3 linked regions of the Tribolium castaneum genome follow. The main gene of each other region encodes a partner of the protein of the gene in region 2 in a complex. Links are inferred from orthologs where the notes say so. Each region holds a gene or a part of one and is shown on either strand. Other genes may lie near its edges.

Region 1 (4,383 bases), on a different chromosome or scaffold from region 2:
CTAGGGGCTTGAAACACGGTTGCGAGTCCGTCCAGATGAGTTGGGGGCTCGCGCAATGCTCAAATAAAACACTTTCTGATTATGCGCCGACATAACCCCACTTTTACAAAATCAAAAATAATACTAAAATCAACCTCTAGTCATACAATACTGCAAAAACTGGTCACTTTGTACCTAATCTGTGCTTAAAAATAATAATTGTTACACTTTTGTGTCATTTCCTAACCTCAAATCCGTTCCCGACTTTTCAAAAAATACTCAGGCCAGGCAAAATTCCAAATGATTGCGATTGCCATCAGGAGACAATACGTGACGATAGAGAGCCACCAAATGACCCGTTCGACCGTTGTCACTTCTAGGTTTCTTAGGACGTTGAGCCCCACCAAGAGCCCGGCAATAGCCCCCGCAAAGTGGGCCATGTACCCGATATGTTCGTCCATTTCGAGGAAATACCGATTGTAAATGGCGGTCCCAATGTCGGAGGCCATAATGATCAAAAAAATAAATAACTGGACGATGGGGAACGACATTTCCCTCCAATTCATTATAATGGTGGCTATATGTGCCGTGATGAGGGAGTAGACCCCACCGCTGGCCCCCGCAAGTCTCACGGTGGGGTCGGCGATTGAGGTAGCAAGCGACCCGGCGAGGACCCCCGCGAAATAAATGAGGAGCACTCGCCACCACCGGTGCACCATTTCTAGCGGAGTCCCCAGTAGAATTTGCACCAAAAGATTGACAAACAAATGGAAGGCTCTGCAATTAATTGGGTGGCTAACGTCGGTCAATTGTTGATTAATTACCCAACGTGCACAAACATGTAAGTGATGAACCGCCAAGCCTCCTGTCTCTTGTAGGGGTCGTAGATGAAGACGGAACTGATGGGGCCCGAGGCCGATTTGGTCGAATCCGCCTCGATTGCCTCATCCACACAGAAAAAAATGACCTCGATTAGCGAAATAATGATCATGCCCACGGCCGGGGGGTAGCAGGAGTACTGGTCGTCGTAGGCCCCGTCCACCTCGCTGGCGCCCCGTCGGCGGGGCACCACCATCTGGATGTACCTGTTGACATAGTGCCCGAAAACGTACTGGAGGTCCGGGTGGTTTATCATGTCCACGAATTCGGTGAAATCGATTCGGTCGTCGTGGTTCTGATCGGCCATTTGGTGGATTTTCCGCACGACGTGCTCGGGGATGTCGTGGTCATATTCCCGGCTCTCGATCAGGTCATTCAGCTCCCCGATGTTGATAAAACCGTCATGGTCCCGGTCGTACTGAAAGCGCAGTTTGGGTGATTGCTACTAAACTGGGGGGCTCACTTTGTCGAAAATGCTGCGGTAGTAGGCGTTTTTGCGGCTGGCTTGGAGCGGCGTCTCCGAGTTGGCCATGGCCACATAACCTCAATTGGCGCACACACACAATCACTGTTTACGTTACTAACACTCGTGTTACTACATGTTATCACTTATTATTATTATCACTTTTGTTTTGTTAATTATCATTACACGGTTATGTTTTGGTAACTTTGGGCCCAACTGGGGGAATTCCGCGCCTGGCAGGTTTGAAAAATGGCGCGCGGCTAACGTCATTGTTGTGATTCACGTGTAAAACACTTAAAATGAGTCAGGAGGAGACTTTGGTCAAATACACGGCAATTTACAGGTGCTCGGATGACATCACCAACTTGAAAATAAGGTAAGTAAAGACACTACGTACACAATTAAAGTTCAAGGTTCAAGAGTGAAGTTGCGCCAAGTGGGGGATTTAACTGGCGAGGATTCGGACGGTTGGGAGCAGAAAGACTTCGCCTGGCAACAGAAATGCTTCAGCAAGTCAGAAAGGGAGTACTACAAGGACGAAAAAAACTGTATCACAGATCTGGAGAAAAAGTACCATTCGGACGTCGGGGAATCACACACTGAGGCGCATTTTGACCTGTTTTCGTACACCAATGACGACGATTTTGCCCTCAAACAGGAAGTTAATGACAATTTCCGCGAAAATTGCGACGAAAATGGCCAGGGGTACGACTACGGCCAGTCACTTGTGGCAGCAGTGCGAAATCCCATTGGTCATAATTACGAGTTTGAGGTCATGTACATCATGGCGGACCTCGGGTAATTCCCCCGAAACGTCCGAGTGACTATAAAGCGATTTGTTCGTAGCGAATACATCGATTCGACTTGGCTCAAGCAGGAACAAGTCCTGTGTGTCGTTAAATACGACCGGAAGTACAAAATATTATCAATTAACCCCGACTTTACCAAATCCCAGCCGTATTTAATCCGACTTGAAGGCGCCACAATTCGCAAATATCACTATTTCCTTGAGAACGTTTCGGCCCAAATGCCTGAGGAAGCCCACCGTCGCGAAAAAGAATTAATCCGAAAAGTGTGTGTTGTATTATCCCCGAATTTATCTTATTTAAAGAATTTGCAGATAAATGGCCACAAAACCGAGCTTTTGAAATGTTTGAGTTTCAAACTTCCCGCCAAAAACAAACTGGCCGTTCATTTGTTCATGGAACTCGCGTGGGCGCAATATTTCGAGTATGGACCAATCTACGTCCAGTATTTCATCGACTTGCCGTCGGATTGGTCCCCGACTGACCAATCGCAACTGCAGGGCGTGACGCAAACGTGTCACGTGACTGGCGATGAGGGTTTGGCCCATTTCGGGCACGTTTTCGACGTTACGTTAGAGTACAATATCGAGGATTTGGGCAAAAGGGGAATCCCCAAGTGCCCTTATATCTACTTTGAGGTTATTTCGAAGGACACTTGGAGTCGGTATAGGACTGAAGGGCTGACTTATAAGGCCTTGCCCGTTGCCAAGCCGGGGAATTACCGGTTTAACCTACAATGTTTCCGGTTAATCCCCGACCGGATTTCCGGTCAGTTACGCCGGTTTTTTATTGGCGATTGTTCAAGCTATGGTGACTTGACTTGGGTGGGATTACCGAAACATTACGATGTGAGTTGACTAAATGAAAGGTTACTAAGGCTTAAAGCGGGCTTAAGCCGACACCGAGTGTTGCTCATTTAGGTTAGGTTTAACTAAACCTCGGCTTATTGCTAATATTTTTAATAAATTATTATTGTAGATAACATTATAATTTTGTTGAAATTGGTCAATTTTGTTCAATAGTATAAACTAACACTAGAAAGCAAAAAGTTACTTGCTTGCATTGGATGAAAAAAAAAACAGCAAAAAAAGTATAATGATAATAATTCACTTATTCTTATTCCATCAATATATTTTATCAGTATTTTTTTTATTGTAGGACAAATTTTTAAACATGAAATAAATAAATGCCGCATTTTATTGATACATTTTTAAACATAAGATTTTTATTATAACGATATTATTGCTACAATGTACCGAAATATTGATAAATGGTGACATTAATGAATCTTAACCTAACTTTTTAAAATCAGAACTGTCATAAGTGCGCAAGCGTGCAGTACTACCAACCGCAAAGTTAAGTTCAGCGCGGCTTAGCTGAGCAACACTGCAGTTTAAGCTCAGCTTAAAATGGCGAGCTTATCTAAGGAAATTTTTTTTCCAGGGGTCTGTTTTAAATAAATATGGGACTAACACGGTTGGTACCGGTCTGATCAGCGTGACCGTTCACGTCGTCCATCAAAGCCAGGCGTTTCTGGACAAATACAGAGAAAATTCCGAGGAAAATTTGGAAATTTTCGAAAAATTGAACTCGTCAAGTTTGGTCAAAAGCGTGGAGCAAGTGCTCCAAGCGTTCAAAAGGGCCCGAAAAAACATGATTGCGGCCCGGAAATTTTTATAATTGTTGTTTTATTTTGAGAATCAATAAACGTGGCAACGCCGCACTAGGTATAAACCAAAATCGATATATCTGGGCGAGGGACGATCGGACCGGTTCGGGTCACATCGGGCGACTTCGGGCTGTCTTTATCCATGTTTTAGCCCCAAGTTTGGGCTTTGGCCCCATGGTGTGCCTGGAACTGGCTTCCAGTTCACCCCTCTGTCTTTTGGGATGCTCTGGGGGGCTCAAGTGCCGCTCGAGTCTTAGCGAGGTCCCCGTGGCACGGCCGCCCTGTTGCCACGCGTCCCCCGTTCATGAACCTGTCTCAAATTGTAACACAGTCGCCTATTTTGCAAGTCATTGACACGTCGCTCCTTCGGGGGTGCCATCGATAAAATCCATTCCTGTAATTTCTCTCGTCACGTGACTAATAATTTCAATTTTTAAACAATTCGTCTATTTGTGACCGGATCGATAAGGCGGCCATGGCAACTCTTTTTTCTTTTTGGTAGTTTTTGCAATTGTGTTGGTACTTCCCCAAGTCGGGATTGGGGCCAGGCGTACCAACGTGTACATTGTTGTTATTTTGGGCGAAAA
Region 2 (2,703 bases):
GAAAATAAAGATAATATAAAAGAGAGAAAGGACAAGCTAAACTGAAAAAGAGGTACAGAAAACTGATATAATTAAAAAATAGCAGACTATACAAGACAGGAGGTAGAAAATTGATTAAATCAGTAAAAAAACAAAAGGAAGAAGGAAATAAAGGTTAAAAAAGACAAGTGAAAGAGAAAGGTAGATAAAGAATAGAAAAATATACATGCGACGTTGGATACAATAATAATGTTAATAAAAAAAATATTGAAGCATTCTTTTGTTGACTTAATGTCGTTTTAGTTTATTTGAATTGTAATTTTTTTTCTTTTGTTTTGCTGTTTATTAATATAAAAAATAAACTTAGTATCTCGGCCAACTTTTTGAAAAACATAATTATATTTTTGGTGTTCTATAGTTGGTCACCTTATGTAAGCATTACAATCGCATGACATAGGAATTCAAGTTCATGGATAACTCGATTATAAATTAATTTGATCGCTTGATGACAGAAAACCAATTGAAACCGAATATTTATATTAAATTAAATTATAAACCATTCCTTCATTAATCAAGTAAGCTGTGCGTAAAAAAATATTTATTGACCCAAATCGTTACAAAAATTAGTCTTTTCCTCTCCCGAAATCATATCCAAGACTCCTCACACCTTGCATTACGACATTCACCGAAATCCTCACTTCTCCATGACTCAACATCTGAATTACTGAAACCAAAACTAGAACTAGAAATCTTTGCGTGTTGTGACAAACATACAGTGATTTCCGGCAGTAGTTGCCAACATTTTCGGTTGCAACAACTCGGGCTGGTACCCGAAAAACGCCCCCATGTACCCCAACAACGAGCTGGCTTGGGGCTTCCCCAAAGCCACGTCCACCCGGTGCATCCCCGGCCTCAGCGGCATGTGCGCCCGCCCGTACCCCTCCAGCTGCACCCCCCGGTACACACTAACCACAATTTGGGGCCCTGCAACCACAATTGAACGCCTCAAAATGCAAAATTTCGAACTCACATCCGTAAAGATTCGTCGATTTGAAATTAATCTCAATCGGAAGGTTGAACACTACTAAAGCTCCGTTCACGACAACGTTGGAGGTTTGGGACACGCCGGCCTCGAGCCCCCCGATTATTTTCCAGTCCGGGCCTGTCACAAACTCGTACTTGCAGTGCCACGCGGAGCCCGAGGGGGCTAAAATGTCGACAGACTCAATCTGGCCCGTTAAAGACACCAGAAAGGTGCCGTCGGACATCGTGGGGGCTGTTTGTATTGTGGTTGCTATGGTAACTTATGTCATCTATATCATCAAAGAAAATGGAAAATTGGGTTTTGGCAAATGTTTTCTAACTCGAAGCAGTAAATAAATGCTAAATTTTGAAAATATTACTAGGACCAGGATAACAGGAACGCAAAGAGGTCTTTAGAAATTTCGAACCACAAAATTACAGAAACCTGTAAGGTTTGGAGCGCCATCAGGTGGAATTTTTGTAGTATAAAATTTGAATTACTTTTTGCGTTTCTGTGATCCTGGTACCAAGAGAAATTTCAAAATTTGCCAGAATTTTTAACTCGGAATGTTTGAAACACCTGACAACTCCAAATTTTAGCAAAATTTTATACCTCTTAAAGCCGGACACCTCTTCGTGTTCCTGTGATCCTAATACCACTCCTAATACTTTCCAAATTTTACCAAAAATAGTCAAAATTATCAAAAGTATCAGGGACGCAGGGAGGTATTTGAATGTAATAAGTAAGTTTTAAGCGCCATCTGGTGGGATTTTTAATGTAAAATAAAACACAAGTTCTGAAAATGGATATTTACTTACATAACTTCACTATAGATACAGTTCATAACGTAAAATAATTCTAGACAGTAAAAATAAATAATGCGGTACAATTTTTACATGTGGATGCGGTAATGTACAAAATAATGAAGCGTAACTTAGAAGAGAAGTCGAAAGAAGGCAAGGCCTGTGTCGATGTACGTGAAAAACCGTAACTTAAAAATAAGTTTTTTGATAAAGATACATTGACATTTATCGTAAAGTTACATGAAATATTAAATGAGACATGCATTCGAACTTCCAGTCTTATTCCAAGCATCAAATCATGAATCTTTGGCAGTTATTCCTTTATCAATACGATGAATATAATAATAATGTACAAAAAATTGAAACACGAACGAAGCGACGAGTGCCTCAAAGCCACCCATCACCTCACGTCCGGCTTGTAAAAACAGCTGTTTGATTATAAAAACTGTGTACAATCGAAGCTGTTTTGGTAAAAATTATTATCCCTAGAAAAATCTAAATTTAGACAGCTATTTTACCATTACATAAGTTTCACATTAATATGTAAAATATTTTTAATTACGTAAATTTGTTCTAACATTAAACTGACTTATTGTGACATTGTACTTAGCACCACCGAAATGGCAGTATCACTAAACCGACTATCCTGACACGGAACGCATGAGCAAATTTAGTGTGCTTTCAGAATAAGTTTTGTTCCCATTTGGTTGGTATCATGTGCGGGAAAATGTCACTGCAGCCACAATCGACGCACCCGCCTCAAAAACCACAACCACTGACAACAACTCAACACGCCCTCTAGCTGTGACTTCTATCATTAAAATATTTTATTTTGTCACGTTTTTTCAAAAATTATTTTAAGTAAATGTGTTTTTTAACCATGAAGAGTGGTTTGTT
Region 3 (2,891 bases), on a different chromosome or scaffold from region 2:
GGGCCAACTGCTTGTTGTGGACGCTTTGCAGTGGCTGCGGCGGTAAAAAGCCCCTTTTTGGGAGACTTATGCATAAATCGTTTCAGAGCCCTTCATTTCATTTCGCGCTTCTTCCAGTCTGTGATCGATGACTCCGACAATAATAATAACACGCAGGATTTGTCCATATTTGTGAAAAACGCGTACAAGGAGACTCTGGAGCGGTACCACGGCTGGTTGGGGTCTCAGTTGTTTAATGTACTTTCGTCATTTTTTCAAAAATTGTGGCTTATCCCAACAAGTTGTAGATTTTGTCACGGTTTACCCCAAACCGGCAACAGCTTTTCTACCAACTCGCGCTCGAGAAGCACCACAAGGAGGACCACGTTTTGCGTGATATGAGACAGTTCACGCTCAGGATGTCCTCATGTGTTCAGAAGCTGGTGGATTTCTACCAAGAGCATGATCTCGAGACGAATGATAGGGTCTAGTTGTTGTACTTAGAAATTTTATATTTGTTGATCTTCCAGTTGTAAATAAAACGTTTGGTATAGATTCATTTTTTATTCACTCGGTAGCGTTCTTGTACATCTGCAAGCGTCACATCTGATCTTAATTTCATAATGCGAAAGTAAATTGCTTGTTGCGCTGCCGTAAATTTCAAAGCACAATAGCTTGACACCAACTGAATGCATAACATCACGAACATGATACTTTGCACTATTATTTCTATAACATGCAATTTGAAGTTAGGATTGAATAACAGAAGACCTTGTAGAGGAAACTGGAGCAGTAAGGACAACATCCAAAAGCCCGCCAGTTCAGGAATCTACAATCTTATTTATTTAAATCGTCCGCAAAGTGGCCGTGATATTCAACAAACTGTGCACATGTGTAATATTGGTTGCATCTGCCGACTCAATTATTATCATTAACTTACTTTATCCTCAAGATTTCCCTTGTACCCTAAATAGAGTCTTAACATTTCCAAAAGGAAAACTGTCGAAATGACCGTTATGATAATAAACTTGTACAGTTCGCTAAAGCAGAGATACTGGAATTGGTATTTCGAGTCATTTAGTAGTTTTTCGTAGTTAGTCTTACTGTATTCCTTAAATAAAGCACAAGAATGGCCATCCAAAATGGCGCGAAAATCACGTTGAAATAGAGCGACATCTGCAGCGGCAAATTTGACATAACTTCGTTACCTAAAAAGCCTTAAGGAATCGTAATTAACCAGGCATGTTTTTACCATAAACAACATTATCGATTTTACGCGAAAGGCCTGGAAACACTTTATCAGACACTGACGTCACAGTTTCCTTCCAATCCATAATGAATATTTTGAGCAAACAACAAGGTCAAGATTATTTTTAATGTTCTGATTGTTAACAGATTGTTGGACATTTATGTCCTGAAATTGATAATCTGGTTTTGTTTGTATTAACTTGGGGTTGAGTTGCTTGGAAACCGTAATCAAATCCCCCACATTTGCTGGTATTGACCACTGCAGGTGTTTATTTTTGCATTTTTTTTAACTTTATTCTTTCTGTCCGATTGATGTTATTCTCATAAGTTTTAAGCTAACAAAAAAATGATCACAGATATGTATCGGAGGAAAATCTTCAAACAATAACAAGTGGTTATCCGAAAAGTTATCAGATAAAATGTTATTACGTAAGCAACGAAGGTCGTTCATTATTGTTGAGTACACATACCTAAAACAATGTGATACAAGCTACCAGAAATAATAAATATGGAAATACGAGACTTAAAACAGTGAGTATTTTTAATTTTAGCACCACTTACCTTTCGTATTTATTACCTTTAATCTTTTTTGAATTGTTTCATTTATTAGCTACTAGTTTACAATTTAAACAAAGTTTTATATTATCACAAATAAAAAATAGCATGGTCATTGTTGAGTCACTGGACTGAAAACTTATTGCTAAAATAATTTTAGAGCTGAAGAACTGCTTGTGAAATCAACACACGAAAACATTTTTGACTACATTGATGAAGAAATAGTTTCGTGGGATTTACCCAACCATGGGGATTATCCAGATCTGGTACCAAAAATAACTGACTTGGTTTACAAATTATACACAGAAATATTCCCGGAACAAAACAATCCCAGGAACTTTGCGGCCTTCCAGTGGTAATAATTTATAGGCAATTTGTTGTACTTGTTCTTTCATTGGTGATTTCAAGGATTATTTTTGATAAAATCCACGATTTGGTCGTGCCATGCATTAAAGCGAATTTGTTCCGAGAAGATGAAAATTTCTTCGAACGGTGCTCATTTTTGTGCAAAATTAACGTCTCGGCAAGGGAATTTGGCGCTGATGATAATTATAGTATCCCGTTATGTGCTGCCGTAATTGAAAATATTTTTTTAACTGATGCGTGTAATGTTTTTTTTAGGTTGTGGAATTGTCGGTTATAGACAAATATAAAAGTCCCAACGAGAAAATGAACTGTTTGTGCAGTACGTACGATTTAGTATTTGCGGAAATAAAGACAGCGATGGTTTCAGTAATTTCAGAAAGGTCAGGTAAGTTGCATCTTGATTTATTGTATGTACTAGGTTTTTTTAATTGTTAATAATTACAGATAAGGAAATTGAAATTCCCATTATTGACAACAAGGACATAATGCCTGTGCTTATGGTGGTAATTCTTAGGTCGAAATTACGCTACATGTTGAGCAATTTATTTTATATTAAAACTTTTTATTTAAAGATAGAAGAAAATCGAGAAATTTTGTAAGTGTTAGGCGTCTTTTTTATGAACTAAATTGACTGATATTTTAGTGATATATTTAAATCGTTTGAAACTGCTGTTGATAGATTAATGCAGTTGGATGTTGATATTATGAAGCCTATGAAAGGACTTTTTCAAAACAGTTTAGAT

The links.
Region 1: B9 domain-containing protein 1 (region 2) and Mks1 share a complex: the UniProt entries of both Homo sapiens proteins name them as parts of the tectonic-like complex. The link is inferred for Tribolium castaneum from reciprocal best matches to the Homo sapiens genes B9D1 and MKS1.
Region 3: B9 domain-containing protein 1 (region 2) and transmembrane protein 17 share a complex: the UniProt entries of both Homo sapiens proteins name them as parts of the tectonic-like complex. The link is inferred for Tribolium castaneum from reciprocal best matches to the Homo sapiens genes B9D1 and TMEM17.

The regions. Positions count from the first base shown.
Region 1 is NC_087401.1:10,812,902-10,817,284, forward strand, and holds Mks1 (tectonic-like complex member MKS1), read left to right. Parts: upstream 1-1,557; 5' UTR 1,558-1,620; coding exon 1,621-1,697; intron 1,698-1,741; coding exon 1,742-2,119; intron 2,120-2,167; coding exon 2,168-2,393; intron 2,394-2,441; coding exon 2,442-2,975; intron 2,976-3,570; coding exon 3,571-3,807; 3' UTR 3,808-3,850; downstream 3,851-4,383. Other genes in the region: rhomboid-related protein 2, read right to left, coding at 228-756, 804-1,276, 1,322-1,390. UniProt on the Homo sapiens protein: Component of the tectonic-like complex, a complex localized at the transition zone of primary cilia and acting as a barrier that prevents diffusion of transmembrane proteins between the cilia and plasma membranes.
Region 2 is NC_087399.1:9,020,734-9,023,436, forward strand, and holds B9 domain-containing protein 1, read right to left. Parts: upstream 1,404-2,703; 5' UTR 1,248-1,403; coding exon 1,010-1,247; intron 964-1,009; coding exon 754-963; intron 704-753; coding exon 603-703; 3' UTR 561-602; downstream 1-560. UniProt on the Homo sapiens protein: Component of the tectonic-like complex, a complex localized at the transition zone of primary cilia and acting as a barrier that prevents diffusion of transmembrane proteins between the cilia and plasma membranes.
Region 3 is NC_087395.1:14,181,728-14,184,618, reverse strand, and holds transmembrane protein 17, read right to left. Parts: upstream 1,366-2,891; 5' UTR 1,314-1,365; coding exon 1,232-1,313; intron 1,188-1,231; coding exon 1,084-1,187; intron 1,034-1,083; coding exon 920-1,033; intron 809-919; coding exon 536-808; 3' UTR 529-535; downstream 1-528. Other genes in the region: glycolipid transfer protein, read left to right, coding at 1-42, 87-237, 288-470; ankyrin repeat domain-containing protein 27, read left to right, coding at 1,736-1,758, 1,943-2,137, 2,191-2,356, 2,404-2,533, 2,593-2,743, 2,792-2,891. UniProt on the Homo sapiens protein: Transmembrane component of the tectonic-like complex, a complex localized at the transition zone of primary cilia and acting as a barrier that prevents diffusion of transmembrane proteins between the cilia and plasma membranes.